7 linked regions of the Sus scrofa genome follow. The protein of the gene in region 5 purifies or fractionates together with the protein of the main gene of each other region. This does not show direct contact. Links are inferred from orthologs where the notes say so. Each region holds a gene or a part of one and is shown on either strand. Other genes may lie near its edges. The genes, in order: DDX41, DCAF7, SIN3A, CCNL2, CSNK2A2, DDX54 and HADHA.

Region 1 (4,057 bases), on a different chromosome or scaffold from region 5:
TCTGTAAACTCACAAGCCATGTTTGTGTCTTGCTCATCTTTTATCTCCTTCGACACTGGGCACAATGCCCAGCACATACTCATATTTAGTATATGAAGGGGGAGTTCCTTTTGTGGCTCAACAGGTTAAGAACCCAGCATAAGGTCCGTCAGGATACTGGGTTGATCCCTGGCCTTGCTCACTGGGTTAAGGATCACTCATTGTTGCAAGCTGTGGCATAGGCCGGCAGCTGCTCCAGTTTAACACCTAGCCCGGGAACTTCCATATGCCACAGGTGTGGCCCTAAAAAGGAAAAAAATCATATATATGAAAAATCATATGAAAATCATGTATAAGTATTTATGAAAAGAACAGCACTAACCTGTCGCTCCTTTTAAAAAGTCCTCAGTGAGGAGTTCCCGTCACGGCACAGCAGAAAAGAATCCGACTAGGAACCATGAGGTTTTGGGTTCTATCCCTGGCCTCGCTCAGTGGATTGGGGATCCAGCGTTCCCATGAGCTGTGGTGTAGGTCGCAGACGCAGCTCGGATCTGGCGTCGCTGTGGCTGTGTGGCTTTATTCTTCATCACCGTGAACATAAGGTATCACAGGGAGGACCCCTATCCTGGGAACCTCCTTATGCTGGTGGGTGTGGCCCTAGAAAAAGACAAATAAATAAATAAATAATAAAAATAAAAGTCCTCAGTGGATAGTTCCTATTGTGGCTCAGTGGTAAGAAACCTAGTATCCATGAGGATGTGGCTTTGATCCCTGGCCCCGCCCAGTAGGCTAATGATCCGCAATGTTATGAGCTGTGGTGTAGGTTGCAGAGGAAGCTCTGGATATGGCGTGGAGTGGCTGTGGTGTAGGCAAACAGCTGCAGCCCCTAACCCGAAAACTTCCATATGTTGCAGGAGCGACCCTAAAAAGAAAATAAAAATAAAAGGCCCCAATGAAATTGAAATTACTTACCCTGACAGTCTCGGCCCTGCATGCTCTGGATCTACTTTTCCAGCTTTAGCTCTGACTATCCCCTTCTGATACAAGCCAAGTGATCTCTTTGTTCCCTGAGGAACTTGCACATGGCCAGAACTTCACTCCCACTGGACCCTCTATCACGAAGCCTCTCTCTTCCTCTCCTGCACTCCCAGCTCTGAGACTCCACAGATCCAGTTCTCCTAGAAGACTTCTCTGGTTCTCCGATCACTGTCTGAGCTCTGTTACAGCATTTACAATAATAATCGTTTACATACATGTACAGCCCCTCAGAAACCACCGTCATCAGTATTTCATTTATTCTTCATCACCGTGAACATAAGGTATCACACAGATGAGAATCCCAGTCAGGGCGGCAGCATGTGTTGAGTCATTTATTCTGCAAGCCCCACCCTGACCCCTGTGGCCCGTGAGAGTTAATGGCGGCTGGAGAGAGCGGGGCGGGATCCCAGCTGGCCCGGTCCCAGAGCTCCCTGGCCACGAGAGGACAGTGTCCGCTAGCGGGGGTGTACCAGGTAACGTCACGCCTTAGGCGAGGCTGGGCACCTGGCAAGCCGCCCTCTTCGGAGTCAGCAGATTCCACGCTTCAAACAGGATCGGCTTGAGCCTTCAGCGCATGCTCCAAATTTTGCAGCGTCCAACGGTGCCTTGCCTAAGGCTTTAGCTCTCAGCCCTGGCAACAGCTGCGTAGCCGCCCACAGGGAACTGGGATGCGGCTCCGCCAGACAGGGACTCAGGAGAAAGTTTGTCCCTCTGCGCGATCCGGCACTCAGGTCGCTGCTAGCTGCCGACGTCTGCTTCTTCACATCTGATTGGATAGCATCATAGGAAAGGCGGGGGGCGGGGGTTTGCCGTGGCGCGCATGCGTATAGCAAAGAATGGAGGAATCCGAACCAGAGAGGAAGGTGGGAGCTTTGCTCGCTGGGGTCCGCGTGGGTTGCGAGTGGTAATGAAGTCGGGGAGTCTGGGCCTTGACTCGTGTATATCTGCAGCGGGCTCGCACCGACGAGGCAACTGCCACAGGAAGCCGCTCCGAGGCGGAGGATGAGGACGATGAGGATTATGTACCCTACGTACCACTGCGACAGCGCCGGCAGTTGCTGGTCAGGGCCCTGGGTCGCGGGGACGAATGAGGGCAGGAATGAGGGTTTGGCTGTGGCATGGGGGATGGCCCCAGGTTTGCAGAGTGAGGTGTCAGTATACAGGAGCATGGTCCCCAGGCAAAGGGGGGAACTGGTGAGGCGACGTGATCTGAGGGATGGGGCAGCTCTGCACCTCGGGGCACAGGATCCTCTCCCAAGAGCCAGGATCCTGACACCTGCCCCTGGGTCCAATGCCCCACTCTGCATTGGACTCGGCTCTGAGAGGCGCTCGTGGAACCTCAGCTCCAGAAGCTGCTTCAGCGAAGGCGCAAGGGAGCTGCGGAAGAGGAGCAGCAGGACAGCGGCAGCGAACCCCGAGGAGATGAGGACGACATCCCGCTGGGCCCTCAGTCCAACGTCAGCCTTCTGGATCAGCACCAGCACCTCAAAGAGAAGGCTGAAGGTGAGTTGGGCAACAAGAGGGAGGCTCAGCTTGGTACATTGCTTTAGTGTCTTTCTGACACCTTCTGCTGCTTTTGTCAGCCCGCAAAGAGTCTGCCAAGGAGAAGCAGCTGAAGGAAGAGGAGAAGATCCTGGAGAGTGTAGCTGAAGGTCGAGGTATGGTTGTAGGCAGGGGCAGAGAGGAGGTGGACTGCCTCTCCTCCTCCAACCCCAGGCATGTTATATCTCAAGGGGGTCTGGCCTCTGGGAAGCAGTAGCCAGTCCTTAGCCACATCTCTCTTCTCAGCCTTGATGTCAGTGAAGGAGATGGCTAAGGGAATCACATACGACGACCCGATCAAAACTAGGTATGTCTTTCTGGCCTGTGGAAAGTCAGTAACCCTTACTTGGGACCGTATTTGGGGGACACTGGCAGGGACACCCTAAAACCAGCTGTGTCCAGGGGCTCTCTTGACCCTTGCCACCCACCCACAGTTGGACACCACCCCGGTATGTTCTGAGCATGTCTGAAGAGCGGCATGAGCGTGTACGGAAGAAGTACCACATCTTGGTGGAAGGTGATGGGATCCCACCACCCATCAAGAGTTTCAAGGAAATGAAATTTCCTGCAGGTACTTGGGAGCTCGGAGCAGTACCACACTATGATAGTGGAACATTTGTGCAGTTGCATCCTTGCCCTCACTGAGCTCAGCAGCTACATCTTTGGGTCCAGTCAGTGGGGATGGAGGGATTGGTCTTGATGATTCTTTTTCAGTTGGTGCAATTATACATATGTACTACTCTCTGCCGTTAGAGAATTTTAGTGGACAGGTAACAATGGCCTTTAACAGACCTGGCTGTGAACCCTGCCTCCACTTTACCTGGAGGCCTTGGACAAGCCTGTGTCTGTCTTTCTCTCTTAGTTTCAACATAGTGCCAGTTTTATGGGCTTTGGGGGGCCTGATGAGACACAAGGATGATGGCAGGGTTGTTTTCTGTAGCCATCCTGAGAGGCCTAAAGAAGAAGGGCATCCACCACCCAACACCCATTCAGATCCAGGGAATTCCCACCATGTGAGTGTGAACCTGCTGGTGTTGAGGAGGGTGGTGACAGGGAGGAGCGGTCGTTAGATGAGAGGCAGTCCGTTTATTCTACTGAACCTGACCCTCAGGTCTGTCTTCTCTCAATAGTCTCTCAGGCCGAGACATGATAGGCATTGCCTTCACGGGTTCAGGCAAGACACTGGTGTTCACCCTGCCCGTCATCATGTTCTGCCTGGAACAAGAGAAGAGGTTACCTTTCTCTAAGCGCGAAGGGCCCTATGGACTCATTATCTGCCCCTCGGTAAGATAAGCTGGCTGGGGTTGGGAGTGGGGGAATGCAGGGCACCAACAGGGCCACCTCTGGTAGCAGCCATTGCCCCTGTACCTACAGCGGGAGCTGGCCCGGCAGACCCACGGCATCCTGGAGTATTACTGCCGCCTGCTGCAGGAGGACAGCTCGCCACTCCTGCGCTGTGCCCTCTGCATCGGGGGCATGTCTGTCAAAGAGCAGATGG
Region 2 (4,186 bases), on a different chromosome or scaffold from region 5:
GTTTTGCCTTTTGCTATGCTCACGGCACTCGAAAGTTCTAGGGCCAGGGATCAGATTGAACCAGAGCCATAGCAGCAACTCAAGGCGATGCAGTGACGACACCGGATCCTTAACCCGCTGCACCATGAGAAAACTCCAAAAAATGTTTTTAGTAACTATGAGTCATATGGTTGGTTTCCTTTGTAATCCCATGTATTTTATGCATTTGAAAACATAATTATGAACAGAGGTCTATTGGCTTCCGACTGCCAAAGCTGTCCATCAAACACATATACACACACAAGAACTCTGACCTGGGGCAGGGGACACAAAAACCATTTTAAGACACCACGTTGCCCACATTACGCAAGTGAGTTAAGACAGAGGTAACTGCTTATTCTATTACTACTGGGATTATCAATTAGCATTTTACGACTAAAACCACACTGCCTGCGTGCCTGGCACAAAGAAGGAGCTCCATAATTGAAAGGATAAATTTGGGGGCAGAGTTCCTGCAACCAAAGTTTGACACCAATTACTCCACTGATTCTACCAGCAGCCTAACTGTGGCTTGGTTTCTCATCTCTTAGAAATGGGGCTGCTACTGCTTACCTAAATTGACCTTGCAAGAAAAAAAAATCCATCCGTCTGTGTGAAAAGACTCAAGCCCTTTGAAAGATGTATTTTACTACCACCCCCCCTTTGTTTAAACATGTATTCTTAAACAACAGTTCTAGTGCTCTCAACTTTACTAATTCAGTTTACACATCAGGACCCTGAATTTCACTTTAGCAGCTCTGCGGTCCACTATGTGCCATAAGGAAGAAAGAGGCTCCAGAAGAAAAATAAAGCTATGTCTTTTCAGGACTCTCTGGTTTCTGTGGGAAATCGTGGACTCCGAGATCAGTGCATACTTTCAGGGATTTGTTTGTAAAGTGTGTATGTGGGATGTCTGGGCAACAAGAGTCCATTGTTCTCATCAATTTCTCAAAAAGGATTACAAAAAATTTAAGACCTAATTTTTTTGGGGGGAGGGAAGGCATACATACAGCATATGGAAGTTCCCAGGCCAGGGGTCAAATTGGAGCTGCAGCTGCCGGCCTACACCACAGCTCTAGCAACTTGGGATCCAAGCTGTGTCTGTGACCTACACCACAGCTCCTGGCAACGCCAGACCCTTAACCCACTGACCAAGGCCAGGGATCCAACCAGCCTCCTCATGGATCCTAGTCGGGTCGTCACTGCTGAGCCACAACCAGAACTCCTTAAGATCTAATTCTAAGATGTGCTCCTGAAAACCTGCAAACAAAATTACAATGCTCAAATGTTTTCTAAAGGACTTCTTTCCTACAACAAACTGTGGGTCAGAAATAATAAAACTTACCTATGCAGTGTCCCACAGCTAATCAGTGGACTAGACAAGGCCTAATCCTAGAGCACCTGGCCTTTTCCCCTGCACCATGCCTCTGCCCACAATTTATTCTTAAATTAGACTGTTCCTGGTGTCAAGCAGGTGTACAGGTTTTAAACACCACTAAGCATGGCTCTCAGTTGCTCTGATCACTATCAGTCAATCACAACGCTTACTCTAATACAATAAATGGCAAACTACGGAGTAATGGAAAGAAAATTCTTTCCACTAACTTATTCAACTTCCAAAACTAAATTTATGTGTCACTGCCAGCTTCAAGCTTCCTCCTATTAACCGCGCTTCTAAAAAGGATTCTCAAATTGTGGATGTCCAGAAAGACTTACTTCTACTCCAGGTTACTTGTCTGTATCAGCATGAAAGATGCCAAGAAAACAAATGGCAAGCATCACCCTTTTCTATGCAGAAGACAATAGCCATTGGCAAGATTTCCAAAAAGAGATAGCTTTGAAGAGGACGAATATGAGGCAGCAATAGCAATGGCAATCCCGGCAGAAAGGCTGGGGAAATCCAGGGAACAGGGGGCGGTGAAACCTGCTAAACAGTCCTAATAGAAATCTAGTGTGGCCAGGGGAGAAGGACCACGGGGCTCCAGCATCTTCTTCGCAGCCATCACTCCCTCATCCCTCCTCCGCCCCCCAACTGAAGCTGCAGGAGAGGAGGGGATAGGCGTGATAAACGGCACAGCTCTGCGCTGCAAACTTGGGTTTGAGACCTGTTTCCGTCACGCAATAGCTGTCTGACTGGGGCAAGTCACAACACGGTGCCTCAGTTCCCCCATCGGTAAAATGCGGGTAACTACACTCCTGACTACCCAGGAATGCTGCAAGGATTAAATGAGACGAGAGCGAAACCCTCTGCACAGGGCCAGACACAGAGGAACCGCTCCGTGGCGCTAAGGCAGGTCCGCAGGAGGGTCCTGGGGTCTGAGCTCCGGCCGGGAAAGGGCGCTCCAGGTGCCCGCGTCCCTCTAGCTGGGTTCCGAGCCCCTGCCCGGCCCACCTTGTTGTTGTACTCCTCCACGAAGCTGCCCAGCGCCAGGCGAAAGCGCTTGTCGGGCCGCACGCTCCAGTTCATGGCGTAGACGGTCCAGGGCGCTTCATACTTGTAGATCTCCTTCCGTTTGCCGTGCAGGGACATAGTGGCGGCGGCGGGGCCGCAGTGCGGGCCGGGACGGCAGCGAGCTGCGGCGGGCGGGGCGCGAATCGGGCAGGGAGTCAGGCCTGGGACGGAGGGGTCCGAAGGGAGGCGGGGCGGGGGCGGGTACGGACAGCCTAGCCCGGAAGCGGGGCCGCTGCTACAGACAACGACAGCCGAGCCCGACCCCCACTTTCAAACCTGCTTCGGCTCGGACAACAACCACCTTCCGTTTGAGACCCCGCCCCACCCTCTAGAACGGAAGCCACGCGACCCCCTCAGCGGCGCCGGCCGTTGGCTACCTGACACGTCCTTTCGAACGGCTCCTTCTCCTCATTGGCTAGTGTACCCGTAGCTTCTGAAACCTCCTTGCTATTGGTGCGTATGGTTGTCATTCCGATTACTTGCTCTGCCCAACTCCAGGGGGCAGGCGCTTTCACAGCCACAAAGGTCATTGGCTGACAAAGATGTCAGTCAGAGAGATAACGGCGCAGTGCGGGTGAATCGGGGTGTGGGCGGCTTAAAAGCTCGCGTACTGTGCAGCAGGCCTCCAAGTTCTAGGCCAAGTCTCTGAGAGTGAAACCTCTTACGTGACTGCTCTGACTTCCCCACTGCAGCTGCTATTCTGACCGGATTCTCCACGTTGGCGAGTGAAAATGAAAAGTCTGCCTTACGAGAGGGCCTGCTGCGTTTCGCGGCACTGAGCTCCCGGGCCTTGCGGACGGGCCTGCGCCGAAGGGAAACCCCTTTATTTCCCTGCTTCGCCAACGCCTCCTTTAAATTGGAATGTTGTTCTCCCAGCGTACCAAGGGCAGACGGCGGACACGCCGCTCTACTCAGGACCAGGCCAGCTTCAGTCAACCTTTCCTGGCCATTCTAGAAGTGCTTGGAATTAGAGGATTGGTCTTCAGCAGGCAGCAACCCCGCCAGCGTGGCTGTCAGCTTCTGTTTCCATCTTTTCCCACGAGCGTCCCAAGGCAAATGCTAATCTAGCCTTAAATATATAAGTGTCTTGAATTTGAAATGGGGAAGGGTCAGAATCTAGGTAACATCTCTTTATAATTTAAATGGTTTCCAATAATTTGCTTTCAACAAAACTAAGCAAAAAATTGTATTGAATTGTTAGATAATATATCATTAAATATAGTATTTAGTGGAGTTCCTGTTGTGGCTCAATGGAAACAAATCTGACTAGTATCCATGAGGACGCAGGTTCGATCCCTGCCCTCGCTCAGTGGGTTAAGGATCCGACATTGCCATGAGCTGTGGTGTAGGCCAGCGGCTACAGCTCTGATTCGATCCTTATCGTGGGAACCTCAATAGTTAGGGCACATGTGACCTTAAAAAGACTATATATATATAGTTTTTAGTGATAAAAGTGATTGTTAACAGAAAACTCAGAAAGAAGGACGCACGTTTGATCACCAGCCCCACACAGTGGGTTAAGGATCCAGGGTTGCCACAGCTGCAGTGTAGACGGCAACCGCAGCTGGGATCTGATCCCTGGCTAGGGAACTCCATATCCATGTGCTTCCAGGTGGCCAAAAAAAAAAAAAGAAAGAATTCAAAGAATTGAGTGACTGAGTGACACTGTTTAATGTAACAAACTCCTCACAGTCCTATCCACTTCCGTAGGTGAAC
Region 3 (3,500 bases), on a different chromosome or scaffold from region 5:
AGTTTAAGTAAGGCCACACAACCAGTAAACTGCAGTGTTATAAGGCCTGCCTGTATTCTACGTATAACAGAAAGCAGCCCTTGAGTCCCCAGTGTGGCTCAGGAGGTTAAGGACTCAATGTTTCTATGAAGATGAGAGTTCAGTCCCTGGCCTCCCTCTGCGGATCAGGGATCCGGTGTTGCCACAAGCTGCAGCATAGGTTAAAGATGCAGCTCTGATCCGTTGCTGCTGTGGCACAGGCCTGCAGCTGCAGCTCCAATTCAACCCCTAGCCTGGGAACTTCCACATGCTATAGGTACAGCCGTGAAAAGAAAGAAAAGAAAGCAAGAAAGCAGTTCAGAGTCTAACTAGGTTCTGAGGTCCCCAACCCTTCACATCTTCTGTAGGCCAACACACTCTCTTGTAGACCAATCAACTAAACACTTACTAGGTTCTTTGAGGCGTAACTGGATGGCAGGGCTGTCACTCTTGTCTCTCTTTATGCCTAGCACTTCCCGTTCCCACTCTCTCTCTCGGTTTTCTTCCTCAATTTGCCGTTCAGCTTGGGAACAAATCCGCAGCAGCCTCAGGCAGAGTATCTGGTGCAGTCGCATAAAGATATACCAGTTATTATTAACATAGAAGAGGTTGTATACTTCATCCATCCCTCTTAACTTCTGAGCTGCTGTGTTACTAAACAGTAGCTTGGACTTAGGGGGACTGCCCCCAACACCATTGTGCTTCTTAGCTGCCCCTGTGGCTTCATCTACATCCATCTCTTCTTCTTCCTCTTCCTCCACATCCGAGAGATCACCTCTCTGAGCAAAGAGCAGATCTGGAATGAAGTGATGCATGATTTGCTTGATTTTATATTTGTCCTCCTTCTGAATGCCTGTCTGCCTCTTCACATGGTGGATAATCAGAGCAGCAGCATCTTCCAGAATCTGCTTATCTTCATAGGCAAGTGAGAGGTGTGGGCCAACAGGCACACCAGCATTTTCTTCCGTAGCCTGCTCTTGCCTCTAACAGGAAAGAGAAAGAAAGCATTATGTGACATACCTACAGAGATGATAAACAGACCTACGAGACTACACCATAGCAGCCATTATTTTCCAATCCCAAACATTCAAAAACAAAAAGATAATGTGTTTGATACCACAACGATTTGTATCTTTCAGACATTTTAGACTTATATGGAAAATGGGACAGAACTGGGACCATTTTTTAAAATTCTAAGTTAATATTTATGGAGGATACGATATGAGATCTAGGATTTACTTTAAAATATTTCTGTGGTGGGAGTTTGGAAGGTTAACAGATACAATGAAACAGGCAAAAGAGAGATGATTATTCAAGTTTACGTAAGCTCATTTTACTATTCTCTCCCCTTTTGCATATGTTTGAAATTATCATAAGAAGTTTTTTAAAATCCCAGATCACACCACTTCTAGGAATCTCAATCACACTGTGTTTGTTTCTATCTATCCCCTAAGACTGTAAGCTCGAAGAAAGTAGGATTAATTTCTTATTCATCTCTGTATCCTAGCTCCTAGTACTATATATAATCCTGGTAAGGATGACAAACAAGGATTAGGAAGAGTATGGGGGGGAGTTCTCTTATGGCACACCACATTAGAGATCCGGCGTTGTCAGTGCAGTGGCTTGAGTAGCTTCTGTGACAGGGGTTTGATCACTGGCCTGGGAACTTCCAATTTTCACATGCCATGGGCATGGCCAAAAAAAGAAAAAGAAGAAGAAAGTCTGGGGATCAATGATAGGTATTTTAAGTTGTGGGGAGTTGAGGTGAGCTCTAAGGAATTTTAGGGAAATAGATGGGGAGAGAAGTGGGAGAGGGAGATGATGGGCATGAACTGAAACCGGGATCATAAACTGGGAAGCCAATACAACAGCTTAGTGAGGCTTAGATTTAGAATGGTAGAATCACACTGAGAACCTGCCTAGATATTTACATCGCAACAGAACAAAGGGAGGAAAAAAAATGTATACATGTATGTGTAACTTGGTCCCCATGAGATCTAGGATTTACTTTAGGATCTACTTTTACATCTAGGATGTACAGCAGAAAAAATACATAAATAAAAAAAATAATATGGAGTTCCTGTTGTGGCAGAGTGGTTAATGCATCTGACTAGGAACCATGAGGTTGTGGGTTCGATCCCTGGCCTTGCTCAGTGGGTTAAGGATCCGGCATTGCCGTGAGCTGTAGTGTAGGTTGCAGATGCAGCTCGGATCCCGCGTTGCTGTGGCTCTGGTGTAGGCCGGTGGCTACAGCTCCAACTGGACCCCCTAGCCTGGGAATCTCCATATGCCACAGGAGAGGCCCTAGAAAAGGCAAAAAGACAAAAAAATAAAATAAAATAAAAAGGTAGATTCAGGAATAGAGGCTATGACAACTACGAAGCAAGAATCAACAGGTCTCCCATTCAAATAACAAAGGTAATCTGCCGGAGTCAAAGTTATGCTGACATATATACTGGAGACTTCTCAAGGATGTAGAGACCTCCGGCTTACCTCATCATAGATACTCTCAATCTCATTGAGTAAGCTCTTAGATCTCAGGACCTTGGTGTCATTTTGTTTAAAGTTGATGCCTTGGTGGTCCAGAGATTTCAAGTAGTATTTCTCATTTTGTTCTCTCCACACCTTATTAAAGCCTCTCTGAGCTTCTCGCCATTCTTCCTCTTTCATCTTCAACCTAAGGTGGGTGGGGTTGGAAACAACAAAACATGGGAGTCCAGATGAGGGAATTTTAAGGTAGGAATCCTGGATCTGCCATAGTAACCATAAGACTTATAAGTAAAATAGGGATAATAGCACCTAATTCATAAGGTTTTAGAAGTGAGAAGTCAGGTTTATTCTATTTCTCTATTTCAAAGGTCAAAAGATACAGAAGATCCAAACTGTTGGCAACTTTGGGGTAAATTTTATCCAAATCAGCCTTAAACTCTACCACATGAGAAAATTACTCATTCAGGACTTATTCTGGGGAAGTCATTTGTCCTAAAGTCAGAAACCTTGCCAAGAATAGTTATTTCTCAAACATCATTTCATAGAATACCTCAGAAAAAGGGGTTCTCTCCCTGGGGCAGCTCAAAGTGATACAACTTTCTTTGCTACAGGATCTCTGAGGACGTTTACTATGCTAATGTAAATGCAAAAGTCCAAGGGCAGAAAACTTGCACAGAAATGTTCTTTGGGACACAGTTTGGAAGTTCTAATGAGAACAACTGATCCTGATACTCCAGAAGAGGAGAGGAGAGTAAAACCAAAACCAGCACTAGAACTAAAGAATATCCTTTATCTCCAAGCCAAAAGTTAAATGCTATTGGCAAGGAGAGGAATACCTCCTGCCAGCTCTTGAGGGAAGACTAGGGAGGAATAATAACATCTGGGCACTTGTGAATTATGCAGCAGATAAGTTTTCACCAGGTGATACCAAGGGAGGACCCAGCTCTTAGCAGGGATTCACAGTATGGTACAGAGTGCCATGGACGTGGAGG
Region 4 (3,972 bases), about 44 Mb from region 5:
GTTCCATCACTCGTGATGGACCGTGATGCGAAGGAACACGAGCAAAGGGATGCAGGTGTGCAGGCGGGACTAGGTCACTCCGCTGTACAGCAGAAGCTGACAGCAGTGGAAATCAATGATAAAATTGGTTTAACTGTCACTAAAACAACTTAGAAAGTCAGCTGTTGAGAAAAAAAAATGCAGAGTGACACCTCATTTTGACAAGTTCATTCCCATCTTGAAAAGCTCAAACCCAAGATGCAGTTCTCAAAGCTCTTAAAAAGACGCCATTAAAATTAACGTAACACAAGACCACGGAAAAACTTATTTCCAGGTTAGAGTGCAAACGGGACACTGGAGTCAGGGGCCCAGTTACTCCTCTTCCGTTTCCAATCTGGGTGACACGGGGCGGCAGCGGGGCCTCGTACCCACCTTGTGAGGGTGCTTCACGTGCACGCAGAAGCCCAGCTCCTTGAGGACTCGCCTTTCCGCCTTTATGATTTGATTCTTTAAATTAACGTAATCTTGATCCAGCAGGAGAGGCACAGGTTTTCTACAAAGACAGAGCACGCATCTAGTGAGAATTAAATACAACAGAATCTGTCCAACCCAGGATGGCCGCCGCCGACAGCCTCCCGGAAACAGAGTCGGCTTCCTTTAACCAGCGAGACTACCGGCTTCCTCGAACCCCAGCGCCACCCAGCTTACCCTTCTCAGGAAGGCTCTCCCGTTTTCTTTCCATTTTGTTTTGTTTTAATGGCCGTGCCCACAGCACTTGTGAATTCCCGGGATGGGGAATGGATCCAAGTCGCAGCTGCAACACTGGATCCTTTAACCCGCTGCACCAGGACCAGGGTTTGAACCTCGCCTCCGCAGTGAGCTGAGCTGCTGCGGTCGGACTCTTAACCCACTGTGCCAGTGTGAACTTCTCTCCCTGTGTTTGACTGAGAAATGCCACTGAACATATTGGAGGGTCTCACAAGCTCCTCACCCAAGGACTGCTCCTGGTTCGTCCTGCTCAAGACGCATGTGCATCACAAGTGAATGGGAAAGCAAAGGACCAGCAGAGTACAGCATTTCAATAGCAGAGGCTGTTTTATTGGCTGGAGGTTGGAAGGCCTGGCCAAGGATGCTTCTAGACACCCTACAACGCACAGGACAGCCCCCCACAAAGCATCACCCACCCAAAAATGGAAACAGTGTTGAGGGTGACAAGCCAGCTCTGGAGCATTCAGAGACTGACGGGGGCACACCAGGAAACCGATGCCAGAAAGACGACTGCCACACTTCCCTGACCACTCTTCACTCACTAAACAGTATGGGTCGGCCCCCTCTGCACCAGGGCTCCTCTGGGCACAAGTTTAAACCTCACAACCCCGAGAATGCCCGCTGGGGCTCAGCTGGTTAAGAACCCGACACTGTCCATGAGGACACAGATTCAACCCCTGGCCCCACTCAGTGGGTTAAGGGTCCAGAGATGCCCAGAGCTGCAGTGTAGGTTGCGATGTGGCTTGGATCCAATGTTTCTGCAGCTGTGCCGACGGCTGGCAGCTGCAGCTCTGATCTGCCCCCTAACCTGGGACTTACATGTGCCGCAGGTGCGGCCATGACAAAGAAAAGCGAGCAAGTAGAAGCTTACATCCTGAATCTTGTTTCAGAAACATCCGTGTAACTGGACAGCCGCGAGAACGAGCACACGCACACCTGCAACAGCTCTAACTCGGACGCACCTTTTCTCCCTCAGGTGTCGAAGCCGGTGAAACACATTGATGACGTCTCGGATCCTTCTGGGAGCTTCCTCTATCTTGGAGGCCAGGTGAACACAGGCCATTGACACATGCTGAAATGGAAGCAACGCAACACGGACGTCTGCTCCAGCGGCGACACCTCCCACAGCTTAAAACCAGCTGAGAGCAAAGAGGGGTACCGGGAGAAAAAGGCCACCTATCTACCGCACAGGGGGCTCCCCAAGCCTTTAAGGACAGCGCTGCAGGTGGTGGAAGACAAGGACTCACTCCACTGAGCAACGCGGCAAAACAACAAACCCAGGTTTCCGGTTCCCCCCTTTCTGCGGGACAGACAGACGAGGAGGAGGTCTTACCTCCATGGAATGCTTCACAAAGGACTTGGTATAAAAGAACCGCTGGAACAACACCTGCCCTGTAGCCATGGCCACCTACAGAAGAGAAAAGTTTCCATCCTTTCCAAACGCCTACTCTGAGTGTTTCATACTTAAGTCACTGAGTTTCCTGAGACTCCTGACAACCAAAAACTAAAACGTGTCCCGCTGCTTTGCCTCCCTCACTACCTCCGGGACGCGCTGGGCCCGGGGCCCGGGTGGGAATTAGGAGCGGGCTTGGGGTCGGACGTCGGCGCCGAGCCGCCCGGCCCTGCCGCCAACAAAGGGCCCCGCCGCCTCCCCCGGCGCCGGCACGGCGGTTACCTCGGCCCGAGGCTCGCGGCCGCTCCCTCACCTGCGGCAGGCGGAGCAGGATGCCGGCCGCCTGGATGAGCTCGCAGCCCACCACGCGGAGGTCGGTCTCGGTGTCGGTGTCGAGGCCACTCGACATGGACGGAGTGAAGCGCAGCTTGTCGTCAGGCAGGAGGCAGTTCTCCAGGGTGATGAGCACCCCAGAGTACAGCCGGTCCCCGATCAGCACCCCCTGCGATCCCGGGGCTGCGCTGCCCGAGCCCGGCGTGCCGGCCGCTGCCGCGGGGGCCGCCGAGCCCGGAGCCCCGGCCCCGGTCCCGGCCGTCCCCGTCGCCGCCGCCATTTTGTGCCGCCGACTCCTTCTCGGGCTCCTTCCCCGTAGGGCGGCTCCTCGCGACGCTCTACGGCCGCGACCGCCCCGCCCCGCCGCGTACCATTCGTTCGACTGGTGGGCGGCCCGAACCCGCCTTGTGGCGATTGGCTGTACCGCCTGCCCGTCAGCGTCTCACCCGACGCCGGAACCGGAGCGGGCGGGGCCGGGCACGTTACCCAGGAGGCCCCGCGGCGCCCTAGCGAGGCCGCGGCCGCGACCCGGAAGTACTAGCCGTAGACGCCGGTTCCGGTCCTGGCGCACAGCTGGTGCCGGGGTCCGTGAGGTCGCGAGGGTTCCGCTGCAGCCGCAGGCTTCTGGGGGGTCCCGCGGGGGCCCAGGGGAGGGCAGGGCCCTTGCCGGGCAGTGGGAGTGGGGGCGGCTCTCCTACCGCCGGGACTGCGTCCTGCAGGGCAGGGGTCCAGAGCTTGGGTGGCGGTGTCGGAGGTCTTCGAGGCAGCCGGCGCGGTCATTACTCTCTAGCCTTTACTGAGACCAGGTTTTGGGGCACACGTGTTAATGCCATATTCTCAAAGTTCTCGCCTACAAGTCGAGTCCATACAGAAAAGAAAGGGTAGTTTCCAGCCATTTCTCCTGGAAACAGCGGGGAGCCATCGACGGGTTTGACTTCATTTCCTCATCGGTTGTACCAGGCGCTCCCAGGATCAATGAATTTTTACGTCACCGGACAGCAGTGTTGTAATCGCGTCCGATGCGGTAATCGTTATTACTAAAGTTTTCCCAAACTTCCACCGAGATTAGTGGAAGAACCTGGGAGGATGTGGAAAAGACCGGGCGAGGGCAGGGTGGAGAGGAGATGGCAGGGTAGGCGCCTGGATGGGTGCGGGAGAACAGGAGCTGCCAGTGACTGCGCCCATGACTGAAACCCCAAACCCGGAGGGTGCCATTGGCTTTCACTCCTGAAGAGACTTAATCCTGCAGCTCAAGCAGTGCCAACTAAACCTGTCTCTCATCCCCACAGGCCACATGATAACCGTGCTCCCCTGCTCCTACCCCCCAAGCCGGCATCGCCAGCATGTCTCCTCTGTGGGCTACAATAGCACACTGTCCAGGAAAGGAAGAATTTCCTCTTCTGAAACCCCCTGGAAACAGTGTTTTCCATTGCCCCTGCCTGGGATGCTTCCCATCTCCTGCAGTGACTAGCCAGAGGGAAAAGTTTATGGCTGTAGCC
Region 5 (3,500 bases):
AACAATTTTACCTGATAGTCCACAAGGAGCTCTGGTCCCTTGAAGTACCGCGAGGCTACTCGGACATTGTACTCCTGAGCTGGATGATAGAATTCTGCCAAACCCCAGTCTATCAGTCGCAGCTATAAGTATGGCAAATAAAACGTGGGAAAGGAATGTTTTTTAGATGCCTGTGTCTTACAACAAGGCCACATCATTTTAGATAAGTATTTGGCCACATAAAGTACACTGTTGATACTTTCAGCAACTACATTTAAGATTATTTCTAAAGCAGAGCACCTGGAATCTTACTTGCTTTTTCTTTTAAAAATTTAAATTATCCTGGCTTATCATTCTTTTTACCCCTCCCCCTTTTTACAGCCATACCTGGGGAACATTCGAGTTCCCAGGCTAGGGGTGGAATCAGAGCTGCAGCAATGTGAGATCCAAGCCACATCTGTCACCTATACTGTGGCAACGCTGGATTCTTAACCCACTAAGCCAGCCAGGGATCAAACCCGCACCCTCACAGAGACAAGGGTTTGAGTTCTTAAGCTGCTGAGCCACAAAAGGGACTCCTTATCATTCTCTTTAGATCAATAAAGCTTAAGTTTTTATTCTGCCTCCATCCAGTTGCATGTGATAACACATCCACCTCATTATTGACAGCTTTCATTATAAAGCTCTAGTCATAACAGAAAGAAATGGAGCATGTGCCCTGTTCTAGGACTGAAGCACTGCTCTAGCTTTTCATTAATCTAACACTAGCTAATTCATTTATTCACCAGTGAGGTACAATCAGGACTGAATACTGAAAAGAGGTGGCATCCAAGTGTACTTTTTAATCATAAGGCCAGGCCGACTGGTCTGAGGATCGTTAAGAAAGGAAGTAGAAATCAGCAACCGTAATTTCTTTCTTGAGGCCCCCCGGAAAACCATCATCAAGGTAAACAAGTAACTACACTTAGGGTCAGCTGTCTACTTTCCTTGTGTACTATGCTTACGCCAAGTACACTGGAGACTGAAGAAATACAACATCACAAGTCTTCCAAAGAAAAAAACAACATGGGTCTTTATAAACCAGCTAGGTACTGGCCAAAGTCTTTCAATGAAAGGCTTGCACTGCCTGGCTGTAATGGTACCTTTTTCTGTTGGTGATCTATCATGACATTGTGAGGTTTCACATCCCTGTGCATGATTCCCTTGCTGTGGCAGTAATCCAGAGCCTATTAGATAAGAAAGCACAGAGAAAAGTAAGCAAACCCTCTATCACCTTCCTCCCAATGCAAGCATATTCTTAGTACTTGTTCGCACCAGTTTGATTTGAATAGTCTCCCAAGGAGCAGCTTACTGTCTGTAACAACAACAAAAAACATGCTTCAGAAGGCACCCCTTGCTCTCTGAGCACACTATGCTAGCAGAATGGGGGCTGTGGAGGGGAGTCACCAAGGACTATGATGATTTCCCTTTTTCAGCCACCCTGCAGCATATGGAGTTCCTGGACCAGAGATCAGATTTGAGCCACAGTTTAGACCGACACTGCAGCTACACCAGATCCCTTCACCCACTGTACCAGGTCGGGGATTGAACTTGCATCCTGGTGCTGCAGAATGCCACAGCAGGAAATCCATGAAGATTTCTTAAAAGGGGGAAATTACATATTTCTTTGGGCATTTGTCTCTACCTATGGCTGGAAGCAACTATTAGTCGCATGAATTTAAAACGTACATGAATCTGTTGGTCTAATTTGGTGTGCCTAAAACCAGATCTAGGAACCTCAGTGGAGTCATTCCTCATGCCAGTTTCAAATGACATGTAAGAACCCATGTAGACATGAAGAATGACATCTAAATATACTGGCAGTGTGGCCTGTCTTTTACAAAATCCCACGTGGGTTTTGTAGACTAAGATGTATTCTAATATTAGAATTTTCCTTAAAAACAATCCCTGATCCAGTTAAAGAATTATGACTCTGAAGGAGAAAACTGCTTCCTGTAAGACCACTGACACGCAGCTAAGATTTTTTTTTTCTTTTTTTGGCCACACCCATGGCACATGGAAGTTTCTGGGCCAGGGATCGAATCCCAGCAACAGCTGTGACCTATGCCACTGATCCACCACCTGTTGCTACAGATTTGCCTTTTCTGGACATTCATAAAATGAAATAATATATACAGTTCTTTTTTTTTTTTTGTCTTTTTTGCTATTTCTTGGGCCGCTCCAGCGGCATATGGAGGTTCCCAGGCTAGGGGTCGAATTGGAGCTGTAGCCACTGGCCTACGCCAGAGCCACAGCAACACAGGATCCGAGCCGAGTCTGCAACCTACACCACAGCTCACAGCAACGCCGGATCGTTAACCCACTGAGCAGGGGCAGGGACTGAACCGGCAACCTCATGGTTCCTAGTCGGATTCGTTAACCACTGCGCCATGACGGGAACTCCCTATACAGTTCTTTATCTTCTTTCACTAAGCATAACGTTTCTAAGATTCATCCATGTTGCTTTTTTTCCTTGTAGTAGTATTCCAGTGACCGAATACACTGCTGATGTAAAAAAGTCTTTGAGGAGTTCCCGTCGTGGCGCAGTGGTTAACAAATCGACTAGGAACCATGAGGTTGCGGGTTCGGTCTGGGCCCTTGCACAGTGGGTTAACGATCCGGGGTTGCCATGAGCTGTGGTGTAGGTTGCAGACGAGGCTCGGATCCCGCGTTGCTGTGGCTCTGGCGTAGGCTGGTGGCTACAGCTCCAATTCGACCCCTATCCTGGGAACCTCCGTATGCCGCAGGAGCGGCCCAAGAAATAGCAAAAAGACAAAAAAAAAAAAAAAAGGAGTTAAAAAAAAAAAGTCTTTTAGAGGACATATGTTTTTATTTCTCTTGGGTAGACTCCTAAAGGTGGAAGTGCTGGGCTATAATTACAATAAACTTTTCAAGAGTTTGCCTAATTATTTCCCAAAGTGGCTGAACCATTTTACATTCCCATTAGCAATGTATGGGGGCTCCAGTTTCTCTACATCCTCACTAACACTTGTTACTGTTTATCTTTCTGATTAGAGCCTTTCTAGTGGGTTTGAAGAGGTATTTCATTATGGTTTTGCTATTTCTATAATGAATGATCAGGTTACACATCTTTTCTTTGGACAATTGTTAATTCAAATCTTTCACCCATTTCTTACTTGGGTTAAGTTTGTTTTTAAGGAATATAAAAATTTGCTTCTAAATCTGCGTTTTCCAATACAGAAAATAAATTTTCATAAATTTCAACGTTGGGCCCTTTGGCTTGTCTTAAAAAGCCCTTGAAGCCTATGAGTCCCACATTTTATGTCTTATCCATAAAGTACTCCTTGAGTAATGATGACAGCAATCCACAATCTTAAGAGTACCTACTGATGCGCCTGGCATTGAGAGCTCTTATAAGATGGAATTGTCCAAGAGACAAGATTAGGTCTTTTCCATGTCGGCACCATTGACACTTTGGACCAGAGGATTCTTTGTTACGGGTAGCAGTCCTGTGCATTATT
Region 6 (3,500 bases), on a different chromosome or scaffold from region 5:
GGGATGCACCTGCCAGGACAGAGATTTGGGGGGCTCAGCCTTTGAGTCCGCTTCCAATGTTTTCTCCTGCCAGAAGCCTCCAAGCTGCTCCCCTGCCCCTATTCACATCCCATGTTCATTGCTGTGGCTCTGACATCTGGCAGATAGCAACTGCTTAATAAAGCTTAAGGAGTCTTCTGTAACGAACAAGAGCATGGACCTTCAAGCCCATACTGCCAGGGTTCAAATCCCAGCTATGACCACTTGCACCTTGGACAAATGACTTGACTTCTCTGTGCCTCAGTTTCCCCTGCTGTGAATTATGAATAACAACACCTACCATGTAAGTCCTAATGAGGGGTAAATGAGCTATTACATGTGTAGTGTTCAGAACATGGTCTAGTCTACAGTCAGGGCCTCCTAAATGTAACTATTACAATTAGAAATCATTCAATGAAGGCTTTTCAGTGTCTCCACTATGCAGGCGCTAAGGACCCAGACGGACTGCAATCCCTGTCTCTATGGATGGTGTGCTCTAAGCTTGTTAGACGAAAACAGGCTGTAGCTTAATCTTCCTCTGGCAGGAGAGAAATCAGAGAAGACTGGAGAGGGGACGGGACTTGGCCAAAGTCACCGAGCAAAGTGGCAGCAGCAGTGGTCAGTGGCCTTGCCCCTCGGATCCCCACCAGGCCCTTGTGCCCCACTTCTAGGCTCCCTCTCCCACCCACGTCAATGACCACGGAAGAGCTCCCACACAGATGATCATTAAGGCGGCCCTAGCTGACTCCATGGGGGCCAGGGCACCTAACAGGGACCCATCACTCCAGTGAGGACAAAGGACAGAGGGGAGAACAGCTGCTTTTTCCTGAAGCTGACAGGCCACCCTCACCATCAAGCCCACAGCAGCAGCCTGCTCCACTCCGGGTAAAATTGGGAGCTGAGGAGTGAGGGGTGAGGGAGCCTGGGGGGAGCCAGGGGACATCCACAGGGAGACAAGAGAGGAGGAGAAAGCTGGGAAGTGCATGTGTGCAGGAGAAAAAATAACATGAACCATGAGAAAAGTAGAAAGAGATACAGAAAGACAGAGAAAGATGGAGAGAAACAGACAAGGAAAGAGAGAGGGACAGGGAGAGAGTCAGAAATGGAAAAGGAGAGGATGAAACTACAGAATAACGAGAGAGGATGACACGTCAGAGAAAATCCAAGACAGAAATGGAGGGAGAGACAGAAGAGGTGTCCACCACCAGAGAAGGAAAAACACCACATGAGGAGGACCAAGCCCCCGAGATGACCAAATGTGCCAATCTGCGGTTTTGTTTTTTTTGGTCTTTTTGTCTTTTTAGGGCCACACTTGTGGCATATGGAAGTTCCCAGGATAGAGGCTGAATCAGCTACAGCTGCAGGCCTCACCACAGCCACAGCAAAGTGGGATCTGAGCCACGCCTGTGACCTACACCACAGCTCATGGCAACACAGGATCCTTAACCCACTGAGCGAGGCCAGAGATGGAACCCAAGTCCTCATGAATACCAGTCAGGTTCGTTAACCACTGAGCAACGATGGGAACTCCCAACCTGCACTTTAAGGACCATCCTACCCAGACTCTTACCTTGCCCTCGGCCATGCTTCCCACCTCTTCGCTCTGGGCCTCGCCGGTCAAAAGCCCCTTCCTCTTCTGAGTCACGATCATCGATTTTCTGTTTCTGTTTCCACTTTTGGTATCTGAGAGGCTGCATTAAGGAGGCTGCCTGCAGCATCCAGATGCCCGTGACACGTGTGGGCCCCACCCTGCCCAGAAGATACAGGCCTTACCTACAGGGGGTTTGATGGTTGAATCCGATCGACCCCACCCATTCTCTTGCCCTCAACTATAGGGGCTAGACCACGCCCCTCCCTGACACCGCCCCCACCTATAGGAGATGTGGAGGCAGAAGGTGCTTGCTCCCCCCCCACCCATGGCCACGCCCTTCTGGATACAGGTCCCGCTTGTAGGAGCTGCTGATATAGCGGCCACTCTCTGTCTTGATCTTTTTCTTGTCCTCCTGTCCTGACTGTCCCACAAACCGCTTCTTCTTCCGGTCCCTGTGGGAAAAGGAGTTAGGAACTTGGGAGGTGTGCTGCGGAGGGAGGTGGCCCACTTGCCTCGGGGCCTGTTTCCCCCTGACTTTCATTGGGTCGCTGGAGGATTCAAGGAAAGCAGGGTGCCCACGTATGGCGTGCAGCAGGTGCAACATAAAAGCCTGTGCCCTGCCCCTCCTCACCACTCCCTGGCAGCCCAGGTCTCAAAAGGCAGTGTGAGAGTCAGGGGATTAGCTCCAACCTGGGGGTTCAAGGTCTGGGGGCCTGGGTCACATACAGGGGTGCCCTGGAGGAGTTCCCAACTCCCACTTTGCTACAGGATGGGCTGAGGGTGTGTGTGTCATAATCTGTGCTGTGCAGGATCAAATGAGGGTGGGGATGTCATAATTCCTGCTCTAGGGCATCATTTTTTTGCCCACTGGAGCCCTGTCCGATCAAACATAAGAGAGACAGTCAGGGAGGAGGTCACATGCCTATTGTGAGGACCAAGTGGCAGACGGGGACATGGCGGGGTGTGCTCACTGGCTCACTTACCACTTGAGCTGCTGCCGGCCCCTGGTCAGACTCTGGGCTTCGTCCCCCATCAGGTCCAGGACAGCACCAGCCGCCTGCTGCTCAAAGGCTCCCCCGTCCCCACCGACACTCAGGCTGCAGAGGGAGGGTTGGGGAGACGTCATGGGGTTGGAGGTGGGGTGCCCATCAAGCCCACCTACCCTAACCCACCTGCCCTAAACTGGGACCAGGAGTCACTCACCCTCGCTCGCTCTCGAAGTCCTTGGGCCGGTAGGGGACGTAGAACGCCTGGTCCCGCTGCCGGGCCTCCTCCCTCCGCCTCTTGGCTCCCCGGTCAGGTCCTGGCTTCTGCCGCTTCTGGCCCACGACCTCTGTGAAGACGTCCTGGCGGATGGAGGCCCAGGAGTCACCCGCTGCCCCCAGGGAGTGGACTGGCCACCCAACCCACCAGCCCAGGTTGCGGTCCAGGGGCTTCCGGGACTTTGAAAACCTGGTGTTGCCATTTAGACCCTGTTTCCTCATCTGCACACATAGCACAACCCCTGCCTCAAACACCAGGAGAGACAGGCCAGGTGGGGTAGGAGGAGGGCAGGGTGCCAACGAGGGTGAGACCCACCACATTCTTGTCCCAGCTCAGCCTCCCTCAGGTCATGTGACCAAGGCAAGGCCCTGTCCCTCTCTGGGCCTGGGCCTTGCTCTATATGATGTGGACTAGTCCAGGGGTTTTTAAGAACATTTTTTGCCCTCTGGAGCCCTATCCGATCAAATGTAAGAGAGACATACTGGTGGATGAGCAGGCCCAGCCCCTAGCCACCAGGGGCACAGCACACTCTTGGTCCCGCAGCCCTGCCTTCCACCATGAAGGCCCAGGGCTGACGCTGCCTGAGTCATGGCCCTGCTGCTGCCAACAGTCCCTGGTCTGCCCATTT
Region 7 (3,500 bases), on a different chromosome or scaffold from region 5:
GCATTAACAGTTTCAGCTGCTTAGAGGCCTTTTATATTTCCTGTCTGCTTTTGCCTGGTTCTGGTTCGCTGCAGCTAACTGGTGTCCTCCGTAGAGGTGAACTGCTTTATTTCGACCTGAATGATTTCACCTGATTTCCTGGTAGAGCGCAGAAGCCCAAAGCTAAGTGTCGAAGCATCATTCCAAATACTCGCTGAAGGTGCTTCGACAGCTGCCCCTCGGTCCCGGGGAAGGAGGTCTCAGCAAAGCCGTGGGTGGGCCCATCCCACCACACCCCCTGATCTTCCACACCTGGCTCTGGAGTTGGAACCAAACCCAACCCAGGCAGTCACCAGAGTCTGCTCCACAGGAAGGTGCCCGTTTGGAGCATCTCGTCTTATTTTAGGGCCTATCACCAGGGCCACCTGGAATAAAGGAAGGGTTTATAGCCTGAAGCTGAATAATAACCCCTATTAGGGGCGCAGATCACCACAAAGATCTACCTGAGTGGGACTTCACTTGTTCCTGCATCTCACACTGGTCTTTTCTGTGCCCAGTTTTGGGGACTACATCAGCACCCTCGTCCACTTCAGAGTCCATACCAGTCCCTTCTCATGTTCTAAGCCTTCATCAATGAGGCTGGTGCAGTAAAACATTTCAGGGTTTTCCTCTGTTCAGAATTTACCTTCTCAGGTCTTTTACTGACAGCAGCAATTTCACTGATCGGGAGAGCAGACGTGTTGCTGGCAAAGACACAGTGATCTGGAATCACCTGCAGGAGGAAAGCATTTAGGAACGTGTCATGAGGGCCTGGGAGACGACGAGCGTCCAAAGGAAAGCCAATGAGTGACACCCGGCCGCTGCCCACCCGCTCACCCAGAACTGATCAGACGGAAGACACCCCGTCCTTCACTTTTCTAAGAACAAGCCACGATGTGCCCGCCTAGTTGATACTTTACCATGTGTTACCAAGAACTGGTACACCACTCTGATTATACCCACAGTGCATGAACGCCATTAACTGTTAGCTTTATCAACCCCGAGAAGTCTCTAGTGTAGACTGTCTCAGCCTTCTGCCCACTGCCCAAACATATTCATGTTTTTATTCAGATGCTTGAGTGAAAAACATGCAAGGCACACCTGTCAAATGTGTGCAAATCTGTGACAGGCAGAAGCCTGACACCAGACATGAGAATCAAGGGTCCAGAAATATTCGACACCCTGAAAAGGTGAGTATAAGATCAGATCAATTATAGGGAGGGTGAAGGTAAAGCACTACATTAAGATTTTGTAAAAAAGAAGAGAAAAAAGACCTGGAGAGGCACCTAAGGCACAAGACCTGGCTTGGCAGTAGCCTTGTGTTAAAGAGCCCATGACCTTATTTCATCAAAAGTATAATGCGAGTCCAAAGGGGGGCCTGACAGTCAGAAAGCTACCACAGTCTCAGGCTGCATCATTAGCGGTGTGGGGTCCAGTGGCGTTGGCAGAGCTCTCTGTGAAGAGCGGACCAATGTCCCCAAAGATGGCTGGCAGCGATGCCCCCTCCTCACCCAGGTGTCTCTCTCCTCCCATCCAGAGGCAGAGTCTCTCCCCTCCCCTTAGATCCAGGCTGCCCTGTGACTTGCTTTTGCCAACAGAAAGCAGCCGAAGTGACTCTGCCAGTTCGGCCCCAGCCTTGTGAAGCCCGCTGGCTTCTGCTTTGGCCCTCCTGGAAGCCGGCGGCTCTGCTGCAGGGGAGTTCTGGCTGGAACCCTGATGGAGGGCAGGCGCCTCAGCAATCTTTCCGCCCAGGGCGGTCCCAGGAGTGCCCCTGCTGGGAGGGCGCACGGAGCTAAGGGCCAGCCACCTGGGCAGCGCCCTGCCCGACCTGCACAACTGCGGAAAGGTAGCTGTCTCTGCGGGGGCCCGTCACATGCCCAGAGAACACTGAGACACAGTGCAGACAGCAAAGGAGACACCAAGGCAGAGGGGGCTGGAGACGAGGCCTGGGAAGGTCTCGAAGCCGTGGGTCTCTTCAGTTCTGTGACGAGGAGGAGAAGCTGTAAATCCGTGAGGAGCGCAGTGCGGACTCCGCTTTAACGTTTTCCTCTAAGGAAAGCGGGGCCGGGGGCGGGGGGGGGGGGGGTGGACTCGATGCCCTCCTAAGGGTGTTTCGCCTGACATTCTTTGGTTTTCTAAAGAGGGGTCTGCTCTGGACCTCACTCTTCTCTGAGTAACTTGGAGTATCTCCCACCTTAGATGATTTCACTCGCTTCACTAAAGAGGTAAAGGCCCCCTGACATGTTACACAGATGACCACAACAAATGTGCCTTTGTTTTGGCTTTTGTCATTTTAGGGTGGTGCCCGCGGCATATGGAGGTTCCCAGGCTAGGGGTCGATTCAGAGCTGCAGCTGCCGGCCTACACCGCAGCCACAGCAACGCCAGATCCTTAAGCCACTGAGCAAGGCCAAGGATCGTCTTCATGGATGCTAGTCGGGTTTGCTGACCACTGAGCCAAGACGGGAACTCCCAAATGCGACATTCTGGGTTTTGCCTTCAGCAATAACCTGCCTGCTCTTTTCTCACTTATCTGCTGAATACCTCCCCTTCCCATCTCCGTCTGCTCCCTCTCCCCGGTGCCTGCCTCTAAGCAGTGACAACGCCAGCACATCAAACGCCTCCGCTTTTCATTCTCTTTCCCTAACAGGTTCTGTCCCATTGCTTCTCAACACTTATGTTTCAACGGAACTACTGTGTTCATTTGTTCATAGTCCGCATATCACTTGACCGGAATCCTCTTCCTTCTCTTTTAGGTTTGTTTGCTTTTGGCCACACTCGTAGAATATGGAAGTTCCCTGGCCAGGAATTGAACCCAAGCTGCTGCAGTGACAACGCTGGCACCTTAACCAGCTGAGCCGCATGGGAACTCCTACTTGTCTTCTCTGAGGACTTTGACTTGACCTTTGTAACATACAGTGTGCACGGGTTCACATAAAAACTTATGTTTGGGAATGAATGGCCCCAGAACAACGAGTTCCCTCCACCTCCTTAAGCAACCCCCGTCTGTGTTCTCCACCCGCTGCACCAGGACTCAGTGCGGCAGGCCCCTCACTTACCGCCTCTACCTCTTTGAGCACTTTGTGCTTAAGACTCAGCTCTTCGAAAACAGCTTCAATCACCATGTCGGCCTTTTCAAAACCCTGGTAATCGAGCTGCCCGGTCAAGTTGCTGAAAAGGGAGTCCCTTTCAAATGATGTTAGTGCTTTCTTCCTCACTTTATCATTCAGTCTGGAAAAAAGACATTTCTAGTCAGGGGGGGCGAAAAGGAAACTAACATTCATTGAGTGTCTGTGGGTCAGAGTGTGTTACGTGCCTTTCACGCACTCAGTGGGGTCGTCGTGTTCCTCCCATTTTGAGGGGGCTGAGCTGCTCAAAGGGCTCAGACGGACTCATGGTCCAAGAGCTAGTGAAGGGAGGGGACTAGGATTCCAGACAACTTGAACCCACATCACATTCTTTCTACTACGAGATGCCTCCAAA

Evidence for each region.
Region 1: the proteins of CSNK2A2 (region 5) and DDX41 purify together in Homo sapiens (affinity purification with mass spectrometry; 3 studies listed by BioGRID and IntAct, counting the BioPlex papers as one, with this or other methods). This does not show direct contact. The link is inferred for Sus scrofa from reciprocal best matches to the Homo sapiens genes CSNK2A2 and DDX41.
Region 2: the proteins of CSNK2A2 (region 5) and DCAF7 purify together in Homo sapiens (affinity purification with mass spectrometry; 8 studies listed by BioGRID and IntAct, counting the BioPlex papers as one, with this or other methods). This does not show direct contact. The link is inferred for Sus scrofa from reciprocal best matches to the Homo sapiens genes CSNK2A2 and DCAF7.
Region 3: the proteins of CSNK2A2 (region 5) and SIN3A purify together in Homo sapiens (affinity purification with mass spectrometry; 3 studies listed by BioGRID and IntAct, with this or other methods). This does not show direct contact. The link is inferred for Sus scrofa from reciprocal best matches to the Homo sapiens genes CSNK2A2 and SIN3A.
Region 4: the proteins of CSNK2A2 (region 5) and CCNL2 purify together in Homo sapiens (affinity purification with mass spectrometry; 3 studies listed by BioGRID and IntAct, with this or other methods). This does not show direct contact. The link is inferred for Sus scrofa from reciprocal best matches to the Homo sapiens genes CSNK2A2 and CCNL2.
Region 6: the proteins of CSNK2A2 (region 5) and DDX54 purify together in Homo sapiens (affinity purification with mass spectrometry; 3 studies listed by BioGRID and IntAct, with this or other methods). This does not show direct contact. The link is inferred for Sus scrofa from reciprocal best matches to the Homo sapiens genes CSNK2A2 and DDX54.
Region 7: the proteins of CSNK2A2 (region 5) and HADHA purify together in Homo sapiens (affinity purification with mass spectrometry; 3 studies listed by BioGRID and IntAct, with this or other methods). This does not show direct contact. The link is inferred for Sus scrofa from reciprocal best matches to the Homo sapiens genes CSNK2A2 and HADHA.

The regions. Positions count from the first base shown.
Region 1 is NC_010444.4:80,431,808-80,435,864, forward strand, and holds the start of DDX41 (probable ATP-dependent RNA helicase DDX41), read left to right. Parts: upstream 1-1,257; 5' UTR 1,258-1,853; coding exon 1,854-1,880; intron 1,881-1,967; coding exon 1,968-2,078; intron 2,079-2,360; coding exon 2,361-2,520; intron 2,521-2,600; coding exon 2,601-2,675; intron 2,676-2,805; coding exon 2,806-2,866; intron 2,867-2,993; coding exon 2,994-3,130; intron 3,131-3,499; coding exon 3,500-3,572; intron 3,573-3,689; coding exon 3,690-3,843; intron 3,844-3,933; coding exon 3,934-4,057. UniProt on the Homo sapiens protein: Multifunctional protein that participates in many aspects of cellular RNA metabolism. Plays pivotal roles in innate immune sensing and hematopoietic homeostasis.
Region 2 is NC_010454.4:15,348,197-15,352,382, forward strand, and holds the start of DCAF7 (DDB1- and CUL4-associated factor 7), read right to left. Parts: upstream 2,801-4,186; 5' UTR 2,549-2,800; coding exon 2,411-2,548; intron 1-2,410. UniProt on the Homo sapiens protein: Involved in craniofacial development. Acts upstream of the EDN1 pathway and is required for formation of the upper jaw equivalent, the palatoquadrate. The activity required for EDN1 pathway function differs between the first and second arches.
Region 3 is NC_010449.5:58,220,321-58,223,820, reverse strand, and holds part of SIN3A (paired amphipathic helix protein Sin3a), read right to left. Parts: intron 2,696-3,500; coding exon 2,512-2,695; intron 1,002-2,511; coding exon 428-1,001; intron 1-427. UniProt on the Homo sapiens protein: Acts as a transcriptional repressor. Corepressor for REST. Interacts with MXI1 to repress MYC responsive genes and antagonize MYC oncogenic activities. Also interacts with MXD1-MAX heterodimers to repress transcription by tethering SIN3A to DNA.
Region 4 is NC_010448.4:63,665,254-63,669,225, forward strand, and holds the start of CCNL2 (cyclin-L2), read right to left. Parts: upstream 2,801-3,972; 5' UTR 2,754-2,800; coding exon 2,454-2,753; exon of another isoform or gene 2,423-2,453; intron 2,156-2,422; coding exon 2,081-2,155; intron 1,820-2,080; coding exon 1,710-1,819; intron 533-1,709; coding exon 412-532; intron 1-411. UniProt on the Homo sapiens protein: Involved in pre-mRNA splicing. May induce cell death, possibly by acting on the transcription and RNA processing of apoptosis-related factors.
Region 5 is NC_010448.4:19,985,725-19,989,224, forward strand, and holds part of CSNK2A2 (casein kinase II subunit alpha'), read right to left. Parts: intron 1,206-3,500; coding exon 1,122-1,205; intron 123-1,121; coding exon 12-122; intron 1-11.
Region 6 is NC_010456.5:38,651,267-38,654,766, forward strand, and holds part of DDX54 (ATP-dependent RNA helicase DDX54), read right to left. Parts: intron 2,956-3,500; coding exon 2,813-2,955; intron 2,707-2,812; coding exon 2,593-2,706; intron 2,062-2,592; coding exon 1,957-2,061; intron 1,702-1,956; coding exon 1,589-1,701; intron 10-1,588; coding exon 1-9.
Region 7 is NC_010445.4:112,787,843-112,791,342, reverse strand, and holds part of HADHA (trifunctional enzyme subunit alpha, mitochondrial), read right to left. Parts: intron 3,249-3,500; coding exon 3,077-3,248; intron 752-3,076; coding exon 665-751; intron 1-664. UniProt on the Homo sapiens protein: Mitochondrial trifunctional enzyme catalyzes the last three of the four reactions of the mitochondrial beta-oxidation pathway.